Linked DNA regions of Mytilus edulis. The protein of the gene in region 1 purifies or fractionates together with the protein of each later gene. This does not show direct contact. Links are inferred from orthologs where the notes say so. Each region holds a gene or a part of one and is shown in the gene's direction. Other genes may lie near its edges.

Region 1 (7,735 bases):
CCCATGTCAGATTTGCTCTAAATGCTTTGGTTTTTGAGTTATAAGCCAAAAACTGCATTTTACCCCTATGTTCTATTTTTAGCTATGTCGGCCATCTTGGTTGGTTGGGCGGGTCACCGGACACATTTTTTTAAATAAGATACCCCAATGATGATTATGGCCAAGTTTGGTTAAATTTAGCCCAGTAGTTTCAGAGGAGAAGATTTTTCTAAAAGATTACTAAGATTTACGAAAAATGGTTAAAAATTGACTATAAAGGGCAATAACTCCTAAAGTGGTCAACTGACCATTTTGGTCATGTTGACTTATTTGTAGATCTCACTTTGCTGAACATTATTGCTGTTTACAGTTTATCTCTATCTATAATAATATTCAAGCTAATAACCAAAAACAGCAAAATTTCCTTAAAATTACCATTTCAGGGGCAGCAACCCAACAACGAAATGTCCGATTCATCCGAAAATTTCAGGGCAGATAGATCTTGACCTGATGAACAATAATACCCCCATGTCAGATTTGCTCTAAATGCTTTGGTTTTTGAGTTATAAGCCAAAAACTGCATTTTACCCCTATGTTCTATTTTTAGCCATGGGGGCCATTTTGGTTGGTTGGCTGGGTCACCGGACACAATTTTTAAACTAGATACCCCAATGATGATTGTGGCCAAGTTTGGTTAAATTTAGCTCAGTAGTTTCAGAGGAGAAGATTTTTGTAAAAGTTAATGCAGGACGACGAAGGACCACGGACGACAACGACGGACACCGGACGCCAAGTGATGAGAAAAGCTCACTTGGCCTTTCGGCCAGGTGAGCTTAAAACAGGTAAATTTTTCGCTAAAATGGGCTATCGAAAATACAGGTGACCGGATTTATCCAGTGCTTAAATGGGCTCTAATGTAGCCGCTCGAATGTCCCCTAGTAGTTTTAATTTTTTCCCTCAAATGTCCTGCGCCCGACCAGCCATCCTATCAATACAGATGTTGTTTCTGATAATTTTAGCAACATACATATGTATTTAGTCCCTTGATCATTAGTATTGTATATTTAAAGCTACAATAAAATTAAATCACTTAGTCTAGTGATAATTTGTACTACTATCTTAAGGGTGACTAAAAGAAAGAAAACTCTTACTTCCAACATTTGTAGATTGGACATAATGTTAATTGATTCAGTGATTTAGAAAATCACTCATTTAAGTTAGTCCTGACTGATTGACATTATACACCTCATAACTATTTATCAGCCTTAACTGGACATCACAAAAGTTCCTATAAAATTTTGACGTCATAATAGAAAATATCTGAAGCCACAATGGAAAAGTGATTGTGGTATGACATCAAAAGTTCAAGCGAGACAGATTCTCCGGTCATGATATGAAAATTAATGTAACCTTATTTTGTGTAACAGTATCAATATTACCAGCTACATGTATACATCCTTGTCAGACTTTGAAGGACTTGGACATGCTTTGCAGTTATTGCATGATTTGACTGGTTTGGCCTACATAAAGATAAACTGATATGGGATCCGGAAATCTAAGTCACAATTTAACTTCTTTTTTTTCCATTAAAAGTTTGATTTCATTTTTTTACACCAGGAATCACAGCAGAAATGAATGTCTCACTATCCTTATAAAACAATAAAATCGAAATTTGAAAAACAAGAATGTGTCCCAAGTACACGGATGCCCCACTCGCATTATCATTTTCCATGTTCAATGGACCGTGAAATTGGGTAAAAAATCAAATTTGGCCTTAAAAGTAAAAAGATCAACCAAAAGGGAACATGTGTACTAAGTTTCAAGTTGATTGGACTTTAACTTCATTGAAAACTACCTTCACCAAAAACTTTAACCTGAAACTCACACTTTTAATTTCTATGTTCATGATCAGTGGACCATGAAAATGGGGTCAAAAGATTAATTTTGTTTTAAAATAAGAAAGATCATATAATAAGGAACATGTGTACTAAGTTTCAAGTTGATTGGACTTTAGCTTCTTCAAAAACTACCTTGACCAAAAACTTTAACCTGAAATGGGACGGACGGACGAACAGACAAACGGACAGACGGACGGACGGAAGGACGCAGAGACCAGAAAACATAATGCGGCTTATGCCCCTCTATTATCGTAGGTGGGGCATGAAAACAATTCTTATAAATCATGTAAATTGGAACTAAGGATTTGTACAAATACTCATTAGAGTGATTAAAATGACTGTAAGGAGGTTGTAAAAAAAAATGAAGAATAGATGACATTGACTTTCAATATTAAATTTATTTTGTCGAAAATACGTTCAAATAAAGAAACTACATTGTACATACATGACATACAATGACATAGAAACTTCAAAAAGTTTGTTACTGTTTGAGGAATATTGAAATTCAAATTTGAACTGTCTGGAAGAAAACAATTTTCATGAAATGACTAAACGTACTACATTGTGGTTGTTCAAATGCTGACTGACTGATTTTTCTGGGGAAAACAATTATTATAAGAAGGTTAATTATCATAATTATATTTGTGGTTAAATATGATCCATTAGTGACCAATCGGATGGTGATAAGCGGATAAGCTGTTACAAATCACAACTTGTAACACCTGTTGTACAAATGTAAATGTTAATTACCGGCTCAGGGCCAGAAACTTGAACACAATTATATTTTTTATACAAAAATATTATTAGACCTTCAAACATGTCATGATTTAAGAGACGAAATTGATTTGAAATCCTTTCAACATTTTGAAAACCATTTTGTGAATGACGAAATGATGGAACACTAGCAAAATCACTGCAGGTTGGACAGATACGAATCCGGGTCCATTCGCGCCCATTCACGTTTGCACCCACTCATGATCGCCCCCTTTCACTTTCGCACACTATATGTTCGCACTGAAAGTCCGTTCGCACATTACATGTTCGCGCCCAATTTTTATTGGTTTTGTGTTTAACAACTTTGTAATCAAGTTTTGGAAAGTGTATTCCTATCAGAATATTTGTTGTCATTGTCTCATTATAAAGTGAGACAGCATTATTTTTTGTGTTGAATAAATCTCATTTGGATAGTGTATTGTTAAAAAAAATAACAATCCTTTCTAAATAATGTTGGAATCTGTCAACGTTTTATTTTGTGCTGAATAACTCTTAATCATGTTTTGGTTAGTGTATCGCTGTAACTTTGTTTCAATCATTGACTTAGGCCATAATAAATAAAAGGTTTGTTTGCCCAAACACTTCCTACCAAGAAAAAAAGCTGCCTACTCAAATTCTTTTATTGTCCTGATTTGAAGAAGTTTTTTTTTTTTATCAAATAGGCATGAAGACTAATTAACATCTGATACTTCAATTTCTTTTTTTGAAAGAAAAAAAAATGCCTACCTACCTACCCACTGTCTCAACCTTTGGGTAGGGTTTGGGCAAACCAAAATATTTTTAAGTCTGGCCTTGTTTCAAAATAAAGTGAAATTCTAACTACGTTTTCTTTTTGTGTGTTGAATAAATTTTATCATTTAAATCAGGACAATAAAAGAATTTGAGTAGGCAGCTTTTTTTCTTGGTAGGTAGTGTTTGGGCAAACAAACCTTTTATTTATTATGGCCTAAGTCAATGATTGAAACAAAGTTACAGCGATACACTAATCATGATAATAGTGTATTGCTATATTTTATTGTTTCATTGTTTCAGATCAAAGGGACCAAGCTGTTAAAAACAATTATCTTTTGTGTTTTTCATTTAAAATCTTCAATGTTTTACTCATACATTTTACTAAGCTAAATACCTATGCAGTTTAAAACAACAATCATGATTTTCTAATTATTCAACTGGAATTTGATCTAAAATTGGGCGTGAACATGTAGAGTGCGAACAGACCTTGGGTGCGAACGTGCGAGGAGCAGACGTGTAGGGTGCGAAAGTGTATTGGGCGCGAACGGACCTGATACACCTTATTGCTAATCCCGTCTGACCCCAGAATCTGTCCCACTTGAACTATTGACGTCATACAACAATCGCTTTTCCATTGTGGCGTCAGATATTTTGTATTATGACATCAAAATTTTACGTGAACCTGTATGATGTCCAGTAAATTGTAATGGCGGGCAAATAGCGATAAGGTGAATTACAAAATAGAGACAAGGTGTATACACCTTATCGCTATTCCCGGCTGACCCGTCCGCTTGAACTTTTGACGTCAACAACAATCACTTTTCCATTGTGGCGTCAGACATTTTGTTTTATGACGTCAAAATTTTACGGGAACCTGTGTGATTTCCAGCAATGGCGGACAAATAGCGATAAGGTGTATTGTAAACAGTATTATTGTGTAAAGTTTACTTACTTTTGACCAAAATAAAACTATGACTATCACAAGATGGGCGACAATTGTGAGAAATCTTGCTGGAACAAGACCACTTATTCTCATTTTGACTATATCTGAAGTATATGTATAATTTCCTTGTAATTTGTATTAAGTTGGAACCAAGAATTTACAAATTACGACAGTATACTTCGAATTCTTGCCAAGTGTTGTTTTAACTCCTTAAATATGCGTAACCATTCAGTTTTGCTTTTACAATAAAATGGTTATGTCTTTGATGACAACTTGCTATTCACGATGTACACAATGCATAAGTATAAAAATATTGGTATGTCTAAGCTTGTTTGGCGGCCATTTTCAAACAAATCATGTTTAACTTCCGAGTCCGGTCACGCTTGCGCATTCACTGTGGACACGTCTCTTCATCCAGGTTGAAACTGAACCGGCGAAACTTATTTGTTTACAAACTTATAACCCAAGAGAATGGTAACGAATAACTATTTTAGAATTTTATAACGCATGAGCTTCTCGATATGTAGTAGCTGTCAGGTTTAGGGGCGAAATATAGTAAAGATCAACGTTTAATGTGAAAAGGGGGGATATGGACCATTGTTGACACATTTTTTAACATTACATATTTTGTAGGTTACCGAAAATTATTGCAATTAGACATTAAGTGTAAAGCAGAACGACACTAATTTGATAGTCATTTATGAAATGTGGTCATAATCATAATGCATTATTGGTTGTAAGCTAATCATTTTTGTACCACTGGGGCACTGCCATACACCTTATCGCTAATCCTGGCTGACCCGGCCGCTTGAACTTTTGACGCATAGAACAATCACTTTTCCATTGTGGCGTCAGATATATTGTTTTATGACATCAAAATTTTACGGGAACCTGTGTGATATCCAGTAATGGCAGACAAATAGCGATAAGGTGTATTTCGTACCCTATGCCTATGGGCCAAAGCATCTATCAATTTGTCCCTCATGAACTAAATACATGTTAACTATTTTGTATCATTTACCAACAGTCTTGGTAAATGATAGTAATATTTAATAAATATCAAATCTGTTTGTTTTTATACACCCGTTTACTGGACGTATTATGGTATACTGTTGTCTGTCCTTCCGTCGTCAATTTGTTGGACAATAACTCAAAAACGCTTGAATGTTATTAATTTAATCATGATTGAGTAATTGTACAATAAGTGCATGTGGAGTACATACATCAATGAAATAGTACAGGCCTCTACAATAACTTTTTTTTCAACTTGTCCAGTCATGCCAGTAGGACAAGTACATACCAAAACTTACTTGTCCCAATGAAATTGTTACTTGTCCAAATTTTTTTAATAAAAAATAACCTTTTTACATTTTAAGTTGATTAAAGGAACAAAACGAATTTAAACAATAGAACAGAATTTGATGTATTTCTTTTGAAATACTTTTCAAAAATATGAGTCAAGTACAACTGAATCTAGTCATGTCACAGGACTTAGGTTCTAGTTTTCATCAATGCCAGCTGTCTCATCAGACTCTAAACATGAGGCACCATCTGATAGGCCTGTACACTCATTGGATTTGTATCCTGGTTTTTTTTTTAAGTTGAAAAAAGTTTATTCAAATGCAATCAATAAAAAGAAGAAGATAAGGTCTGATTGCCAATGAGACAACTCTCTTCAAGAGACCAAAATGACACAGAAATTAACAACTAAAGGTCACCATTTTGCAAGTATTGTTTTTTTTTTACCTATGATCAAATATGATTTTGTGAATTTTATGAAATTATGGTTAATACAAAAAATTATGGAAAATAAAAAAAAATATTTTTGTGAAAAAATTACCTGTATGGTATTTATTATAAAGAACAGAATAAGGAAAGAAAATGAGGAACTGATTTGTCTTGGTCCCGAAATGTCTCCTGCCTTGCCAAAGTGTCTATCAATCATTTCCACTAAATTTGTCTCCTACGGTGCCAAACTGTCTATTAAACTTTGAGCTAAACCTGTCGAAGTGAGAACTGTCCTGTAAAGTTACCTAGTCTACAAAACCCAGCATTGATTATTCGGATCAGTAAGGCTGGTTTCCGAGAATAGTATAATGTACCAGTGTTCTCCCCAGATATTTCATTTAGCATCCTGGTAAATAGGGGAAATTAAAATACCATCTTGTTTCTGAAATTTATAGCATCACATCCATAACATAATCTATAAGAAAACCAATTCAAATAGCATCACATTTAAGATTATAGCATCACATTACCATGATGCTAAAAGGCCCTGGGGAGAACACTGAGTACCTTTCACCTGTTAAAAGGTACCTGACAAAGGACAAGTTAAAAATTATCGATTGCAAGTAAACATGCTAAAAAAAAGGTTTTGCATTTCAATAAACAGAATACAGAAACATGTCAAACTAATTTTTGTTTTTTGTTTATTATTATACTTTGTTCATCAAAGTTGGATGAAATTTATTTTCTGCAGAATAATTGTACTTGTTCCAACGGACAAGCTTGATACAGCTTTTACTTGTCCGACCTTTTTTCCCTCTGGTATCGGACAAGCGTTATTGTCGAGGCCTATAGTATCCAAACCTTCTAAAATGATAAACAATAAAACATACAAAACTTCCATGAGGTGAAAAATGGTAAACATACAAACCTAACATGATGAGATAAGAAATGGTATACATTGTACATATAAGTTGTCCATGAGGTACGAAACCATGGATATGGGATATAAAAATCCAATCTCTGTCACCCACTTTTCCTATGTTGATAATATTAAAAACCAGAAATTTTAATAATATATTTCTAATTAACAATGGTCTTCTACATGTACATGTATGTATCTTTCTTATGTCATGTTATTAAGTTTGTGCATGCTTCTTCTTCTTGTTATGGAAAAAGTACTCTTGTATCTGGAGAACTTCTGTGATGGGTTAAAAGGAACTACCAAACAACAGTTGAAAGGATATATAGTATTAAAATAATATGAAATCTAGTATTTACAGCTCTACACTGTTCATTCTTACATATACTTACTTAAACATGATCAACATCTAATATCTAATGAATTATGTATTGCAGCCGTTACGTTTGAATATAAAGCGGGTTTTGACAGCCCGATCAGATCGTGTTAAAAGCATGGGTCTGCACCCAACTGAACCATGGATGATGGCTAGTTTGTATGATGGCAAGGTGGTCATTTGGAATTTTGAATCTCAGGTATATAACTATTGACTTTTATTATTCTTTTCAGCCGCTACGTTTGGATATAAAGCGGAAGCTGTCAGCTAGGTCTGATCGTGTCAAATCTGTGGACTTGCACCCTACAGAGCCATGGATGTTAGCCAGTTTATACAATGGAAATGTACACATTTGGAATTTTGAATCCCAGGTATCTCAAAGTTTC
Region 2 (6,832 bases), on another chromosome or scaffold:
CCAACTCATCCCACTTGTCAGGGACAGTTTATACTTAGTTAGCATAGACTGTTCCTGCACGTATGAAACATGATGCAATCCTGTTGCCAACTCGACCCACTTATGAAAAGGAGTTGTATTCCATTGATTTAAGGTGGTATGGGTGTCTTTCGCTATCTTGGATTGTAAAAAAACAGAGAATCTAAGGTCTAGATTTTCAATCAAGTTAGCAAAATTTGATGCAGGAATGCAGTTAACAAATATGAATTTGCATTTCAAAGAACAAATTTATAAGCTTATAACTTATAAATTTTAATATTTTTACAAGTATAAATGAATTCAGTTTGATTAGTTTTTTTTTTTTTAAATTGGCATTTTAAGGGGAGATAACTCTGAAATAGTGCTTTTTCGGATGGAATCTACATGGAATTTTGCTATTTTGAATTCTAGCCGGGAAAAAAACACACGGTGACCCTATCTTTTCTTTTGATATTCTAAAAGCATTTTCTAAAAGATATCTTCTCGAATTTTATTTCACAATGCTAACATTTAGTTTAGCTTCAAATCACATAATGATGATTTATTCTGTATAATCCATACAAAAGGTGTCATTTTGTCATAACCTGTAGCTTGAGAAAATGTGCGGTGATCTATCATTTTTGTTATCGGGAGAAAGGAAGAAAGACCAATCACAATTTGTTATATATTTGTTTTTCTCTTTTTTAATTACATAAAAAAAATAACCCTTTCAAATATAGAGTTCATAAGATACAAATATTCCCTGTGGACCCCCCCCCCCCCCCCCCCTTTTATTTGTGCTCTGTATTTTCAACCCTCGAATTAAGCTTTCGAATCTAATTAAAATTAAAACCTTGCTTTCTAACCAATCTATTCATGTACCGGACCGGCAACTTTCTTTATTTAATACGAAAATCTACAGTGCCGTTATACACATGCATGTTGTTTGCTTGGAGTCTCCGCCCGAAAAGAAAGAAATAGTCTAACTCCAAGATATAATATTTCTGCATCACGTGATTTTTACCATGTGGAGCTTACATTTGAATAAATACCGAATATGGAAAGTGAAACTACAATTCAAAACATAAAGTCGGAAGGCACAAATAAGAAAAAGAAAGGATTTTTTTGGCAAAAGGTGCAGGTAAATTCTCTCCGTGTTCAAAATATACATGAAATATTTGCCACTGCCCCTTTTCTGTTCTATGAATTCTAACCTATCTGTTACTCCATGCCAAGAAATCCTCGCTAAAAATTCCGGTCGACCCCCTACGGCAGTCATTAGTAGCTAAAGATTTGATTTCATTGAAGAAATTAATTTATGACCTTCATGTACGTGTTGCTTAGAACACAGCTATATACCAAATGGTCAATATTAATCATCCATGTAATTTGCCCTATGGAGTGTTTGCAGAATTTCAACGGAGGCAATTTCTTGGCATGATTTTTGAACATATATCAATAGACACTACGTTTTGACAAAGTATGAACAAATTCTATCATTTTTAATTTAGACTCCCATACCACTTTTAATGAAGCCAACTCGACCCACCGTACGAATAAAACAATTAAACTGTACAGAATTGAGGCCTACCTAGTTGCCCCAATTATGAATTAAATGAATATTTATGAATAATGTAGAAATGCATCTCGGTTATTGTAAGGTAGATGGAGTGTCTAAATTATAATCCACTAGAACACACCCGTGATATCACGGGTCCGTGACTGAATTAAAGTATATAACTATGTGCAAGCCTTATTTTAGTATTAGTATTGTCATCTGATAAAGTCATACCGATTATAAGATACACATGCAGTTTTTCTCTGCTTTCAAGTCTTTCTGTTTGAACCCGTCGAACTGAAACAATAATATTAATTATTTGGAAAACAAAAGGTCCTGGAATGAAGTATTCTTTAATCAATAGCATTGTCCTATATAAGTTATAAATAAAGGTTGAATTCTTTGCTTCGCTGTTTTACGTCATGCCCACTAACAAATTGAAAACTGTACCTATACGCCTTATTTTTAGTCCAGATTTTTAGTATTCGTATTGTTATCTTAAAAAGTCTTACTGATTAAAATACTACAATAGGTAACAATTTGACAATTTAGTAGTGTCAACCCTGTGGTTATGACCCGTGTATATAGCATATTAATCCTGAATACAACGTTTGGTGGTGCGCCTGTCAAATGCGGAACGTACAGATAAGGTAATAGGTAACAGGTGAATATACTATTGATATCGGTAGCGGACTCGACCCGGAACTTCTTAATTATTGGCAATATTAATTACGTGGAAAACAAAAGGGCCTGGAGTGGTGTAATTTTTAATCTACACCTTTGTACAATATAAGTTATATATAAAGTTGAATTCTGTGATTCGTCGTTTTTACGTGATGAAGGCTGACAAATTGGACCTCGTAATTTTAGTATTATAGATAGATTTTTTTTGATAATTTGCCAAAATGTAGTTTATATTCTGCTTGTTTAAAAACCTTCATAAAAATAATGGGTCACGGCACTTATTTTCATACTACAGGTTGTGCAAAATTGGCAGATTTTGTATAGATTATGATGGAAAACCCAATTTTCCGCCATAAAACCAAAACTACACCATATAATTTTGAGATAAAATATGAGAACATAGCTCCAATATTATGCTTTCAGATAAGAAAAAGAAAAAACAGGCGGTCACCGGACTCATTTTTTTGCTACATACTAAAATGGGTAAATTCCTAACACAGTCTATTGTAAAAGTAACATTATTTGAATTATCTGCCCTTGCATTTGAGTTGCCTTCCCTTATTTGGCAAAGTTGGGGAAAAAAATGAATCAAACAAAAGTATTCGTGTTTTTGTAAAATACAACCATAAAGATGATTAAAACATGGTATTTTTCTGTATCATAATGAACATTCTTACACATGAATTACCTACTACTCTCAAAATTTGCACATTTTATCAAAGATCTAGACCTTGATTCCTGGTATTTCAAATTCCAAGATGGAGGATACACCTTATCTACCTTAAACTCTTTAGGTTGGAAGAGAGCAGACATGAGTAAGTATCAGCATTTCTGGAACGTACAATGTTATTGACTATAGGAACTGTTTATGATTTTTTTCCTGGTAAATATAGGGTCTGGAAAGGGGGGGTCTGTTATTCTGTAAACCTTTAATTTTCACCCCTTTTTTCTCTAATCATTAAAAAATTAATCCCTTTTTTCTCTAATCTTCATAAAATTAACCCCTTTTTTCTCTAATCTTCATTTTTTATGCCCGTTATTCTCTAATCTTCATTTTTTAAGGGAATTATTCTTTAATCATTTAACCCCATCCAAACCCTCATATTATCACTGTTTTACATATTTACAAGTCAAGAATCATCATGATAAAATATCATCATGTATTTTTACACATTTTTTTCTCAGATGAAAGTTTTGCACAATAAATCAATTATGACAAACACTGTCATGATTACACCAATGATTTGTATCGTTCTTACTATACAAATCTTTGATTACACAAAAAGAAGTACTAGATAAAATGTCAACACTAGAAACAAGAACATAGATACACAAATATGGTATACAACAGATAAGTTTTCATAAAAGTGAGGCTGAGTTGGCAGACATTAATCATGTTATTATATGGATTTTACACATTTTGATAAATGCAGTGAGTAAGCAGAAGTAAATTTAACGGGATTTAACCTCATTTTGAAAGTGGGGCGAGTTGGTGCAAAAGTGGAGCGAGTTGAGTTGTATTACTTCCATCTCATTGGTCCGTTGTTGTTGATTATTTCCTAGACATTTTTATGTTGTATTAGGCTATACCTGCGCATCTGAATCCGGCGATTTTCTTTTAAAAATATAATCCTCTATTTAACACCTAATTTTATAACAATTTTGTGCTTTATAAACTAAGATTTAACGTTGTAAGATTTCAAACATAGAACTCATTGCAAAATCTTATCCATTATTATTTGTTCAGAAACTACAATTTTTGGGATAAAGCGCAAGGTTACAACTTGAAATTGACGTGGCCGAAAAACCGTCAGCAGATACGTTCATTACTTCAATATTTGTCAACACTAGTATTCAAAACAGCTTTCGTTCAACATGGTAGGACATTCACTAAGTTTCTATAACATTGTCAGACATTCTTATTGCTCTCAACAATGAATATTTTACTCGCTAGAGCCTGATCAAACCCAAACCACTTACCGGCATCCTTCATATTTTTTCTCCACAACAACAAACCGAACCTCATTTTTGCTTTATTATACTGTAAACATATTGCATAACGTAATGTATCTATAATTGGATTCTATCACTAGCAATATGGAATGAGCACAGATTCGTAAAACATGTAAAAAATACTGGGATATCAAAAAGTTTTCAAAATTGAAGCCAATGAAGGACATAACGTCATAAGATACATGTACTGTTGGACATGTAACTATAAAGGAAGAATAAAAACTAGTAGTAGTAAACAAAAGAATGCACCACTATTGTATACCTTTGTCAATTTTGTATGATCTGTACCAATCATATTCATTAGTGTCATTCCTTAGGCTTAAGGATTATGTACCCTTGTGTTGATTTAATGCCACACATATGGAAATTTTATAGAAAACGCACAGCCTTTCCCTTTGTACTCTCATGTTTGGTAATTCTATGGTTGATAGATAGAGAATTATTGCATGCAGTGCTATCAAGAATTTCCTTAAAACAAGTTTATAGGTTAGATATTGGTTAAAACAAATATAGATATCCACCATATCAAGTACACCTTCTACGGTGCACTTGACTTTAGTGACTCAACACAAGGTGTTTTGGAATTTAAAGGTTGTTTAGGACATCATAGAAAAACAAGTGAGTAATCTATGGTCAAAATTTTATTACATTAATCTCTGTATTGAAGTCTGTGGATTTTCTACAAAAATCTTGGTTTTATTTTCACCAAATCCTCTTTTTCTACTAAATGCAACTAAACTTAAAATGATAAGGCTTTGCACAAGTTTCCCCTTGGTATATGTACAAATTGCATATCTCTATTAATAATTATCTTTGCTGTTTTGATACTATTGAAACTATTGCAGTTTGAAAATTTCGTAATTCTCAGGACACAGAAGGGTTCATAAACCTTAAGAATGTAAGAATACCCATGAATTTATTGGACAATCAACTATATTTTTCTTTCTTTTATCTAGGTGCTGCTTGCTGCAGCTGTATGTAACAAGTCTGGAAAAGGTTGGTTTATTTTTTATAATTCTTAATTAATTAAGACACCAAAATGTTTATATCTGTATATTTTACAAGAGAATTGAGATAAAGCATAAAGCATAAAAGATTTATTTAAAGTCGGTTATACATATAACAATACAACATAAGCTCTGTAGAGCTTTTATCCGACATACATATAAGACAAGCACAATACATAAAACACATAAAACATGCAAAATAAATAATGTTATCAAGCACAACAATTAATTAGCACAATTAAAGCATATAAGCAAACATAAAATGCAGATAAACTAACATTCATGCAATAGCAATTATAAAGCACTAAAAGTAATTCAAGCATTAAGAACACAAATAAAAAAATTATGCCAAATAATTTAAAAGCCAGAGTATACATGATAAATAAATAAACTGATCTACAGCTCATTGAGATCTGCAGGAGGAACACTGACACGAACTGCCCTCCCAATTACCAACCAAACTTTTAAACTGAGAAATTTAATACTTGTTTTTATTGAATTTTACTATCATTTAAATTATAAAAAAAAAGGTAAAAGGTAAGTGCTATCATTTTAATTATTAAATTAATTGATTAACTACATTTATATAATATATATTATTACATCTCATACAAGTTTCATACAATTACATAATTTAAATGAATTTTCAAGATTGTAGCCTGACATCGTTATTGTAATACATGTAAGAATTTAATGCTTCGTCTCTTTGATAAATAATGTGCTGTACACCCTGATGTAATTACAAAATGAAGAATGAAATTAATACTTATAAGACTTTTTCAGCGTTAATTTCCCGTCAATTTGTGGAAATGACGAGGTCAAGAATAGAAGGCTTGCTTGCAGCTTTTCCTAAGTTGATGAGTTCAGGAAAACAACATACTTTTGTTGAAACAGAAAGTGTGAGATATGTGTATCAGCCTCTAGAAAAACTTTATGTTCTATTGATAACAACAAAAGCTAGCAACATACTAGAAGATCTGGAAACATTACGTCTGTTTGCACGTGTGGTAAGTTTGAAAAAAACTTTATGATCTATCAATAACAACAATCGCTAACAACATACATGTTCCTGAAGATCTTGGAACATTTGTCTGTTTGAACATGTGGTAAATTAGAAAACTTTATGTTCTATAAATAGCTATCAACATACTAGAATATCTTAATAAAGTGTCGTTTGGCAGGGCAAGTAACTTAATAAAGAAAAAAACTTCTTTCAATAAGTATCACTCACACAAAAAGATGTTGTGTGTGGGGGGGGGGGGGGGATAATACTTTTCATGTGATAGATTTGCTTGGATTACACCTTATTATTTTAAGGAGCATTTTTGATGGCATTGCAAAGATCTAGATAAATAGCAGAATTGAATATTTGTTAACAACTTGACATGCGTTAAAAAGTTAACTAAATGCATAACAAATATCTATTTTTATTTTTTTATTTTCTTCAGATACCAGAATACTGCAGAAATATGGAGGAGGCTGAGATTGGAGATCAGGCATTTTCTCTTATCTTTGCTTTTGATGAAATCGTAGCTCTAGGTTATAGAGAAAATGTAAATCTTGCTCAAATCAG

Evidence for each region.
Region 2: the proteins of coatomer subunit beta'-like (region 1) and coatomer subunit delta-like fractionate together in Homo sapiens (co-fractionation; 5 studies listed by BioGRID and IntAct, with this or other methods). This does not show direct contact. The link is inferred for Mytilus edulis from reciprocal best matches to the Homo sapiens genes COPB2 and ARCN1.

Annotation. Positions count from the first base shown.
Region 1 is NC_092356.1:64,947,766-64,955,500, forward strand, and holds the start of coatomer subunit beta'-like, read left to right. Parts: upstream 1-4,711; 5' UTR 4,712-4,797; coding exon of another isoform or gene 4,798-4,800; intron 4,801-7,410; coding exon of another isoform or gene 7,411-7,510; coding exon 7,511-7,720; intron 7,721-7,735. Other genes in the region: transmembrane protein 107-like, read right to left, coding at 4,336-4,419. UniProt on the Homo sapiens protein: The coatomer is a cytosolic protein complex that binds to dilysine motifs and reversibly associates with Golgi non-clathrin-coated vesicles, which further mediate biosynthetic protein transport from the ER, via the Golgi up to the trans Golgi network.
Region 2 is NC_092348.1:7,123,580-7,130,411, forward strand, and holds the start of coatomer subunit delta-like, read left to right. Parts: upstream 1-3,825; 5' UTR 3,826-4,114; coding exon 4,115-4,117; intron 4,118-5,208; coding exon 5,209-5,248; intron 5,249-6,042; coding exon 6,043-6,266; intron 6,267-6,707; coding exon 6,708-6,832. UniProt on the Homo sapiens protein: Component of the coatomer, a cytosolic protein complex that binds to dilysine motifs and reversibly associates with Golgi non-clathrin-coated vesicles, which further mediate biosynthetic protein transport from the ER, via the Golgi up to the trans Golgi network.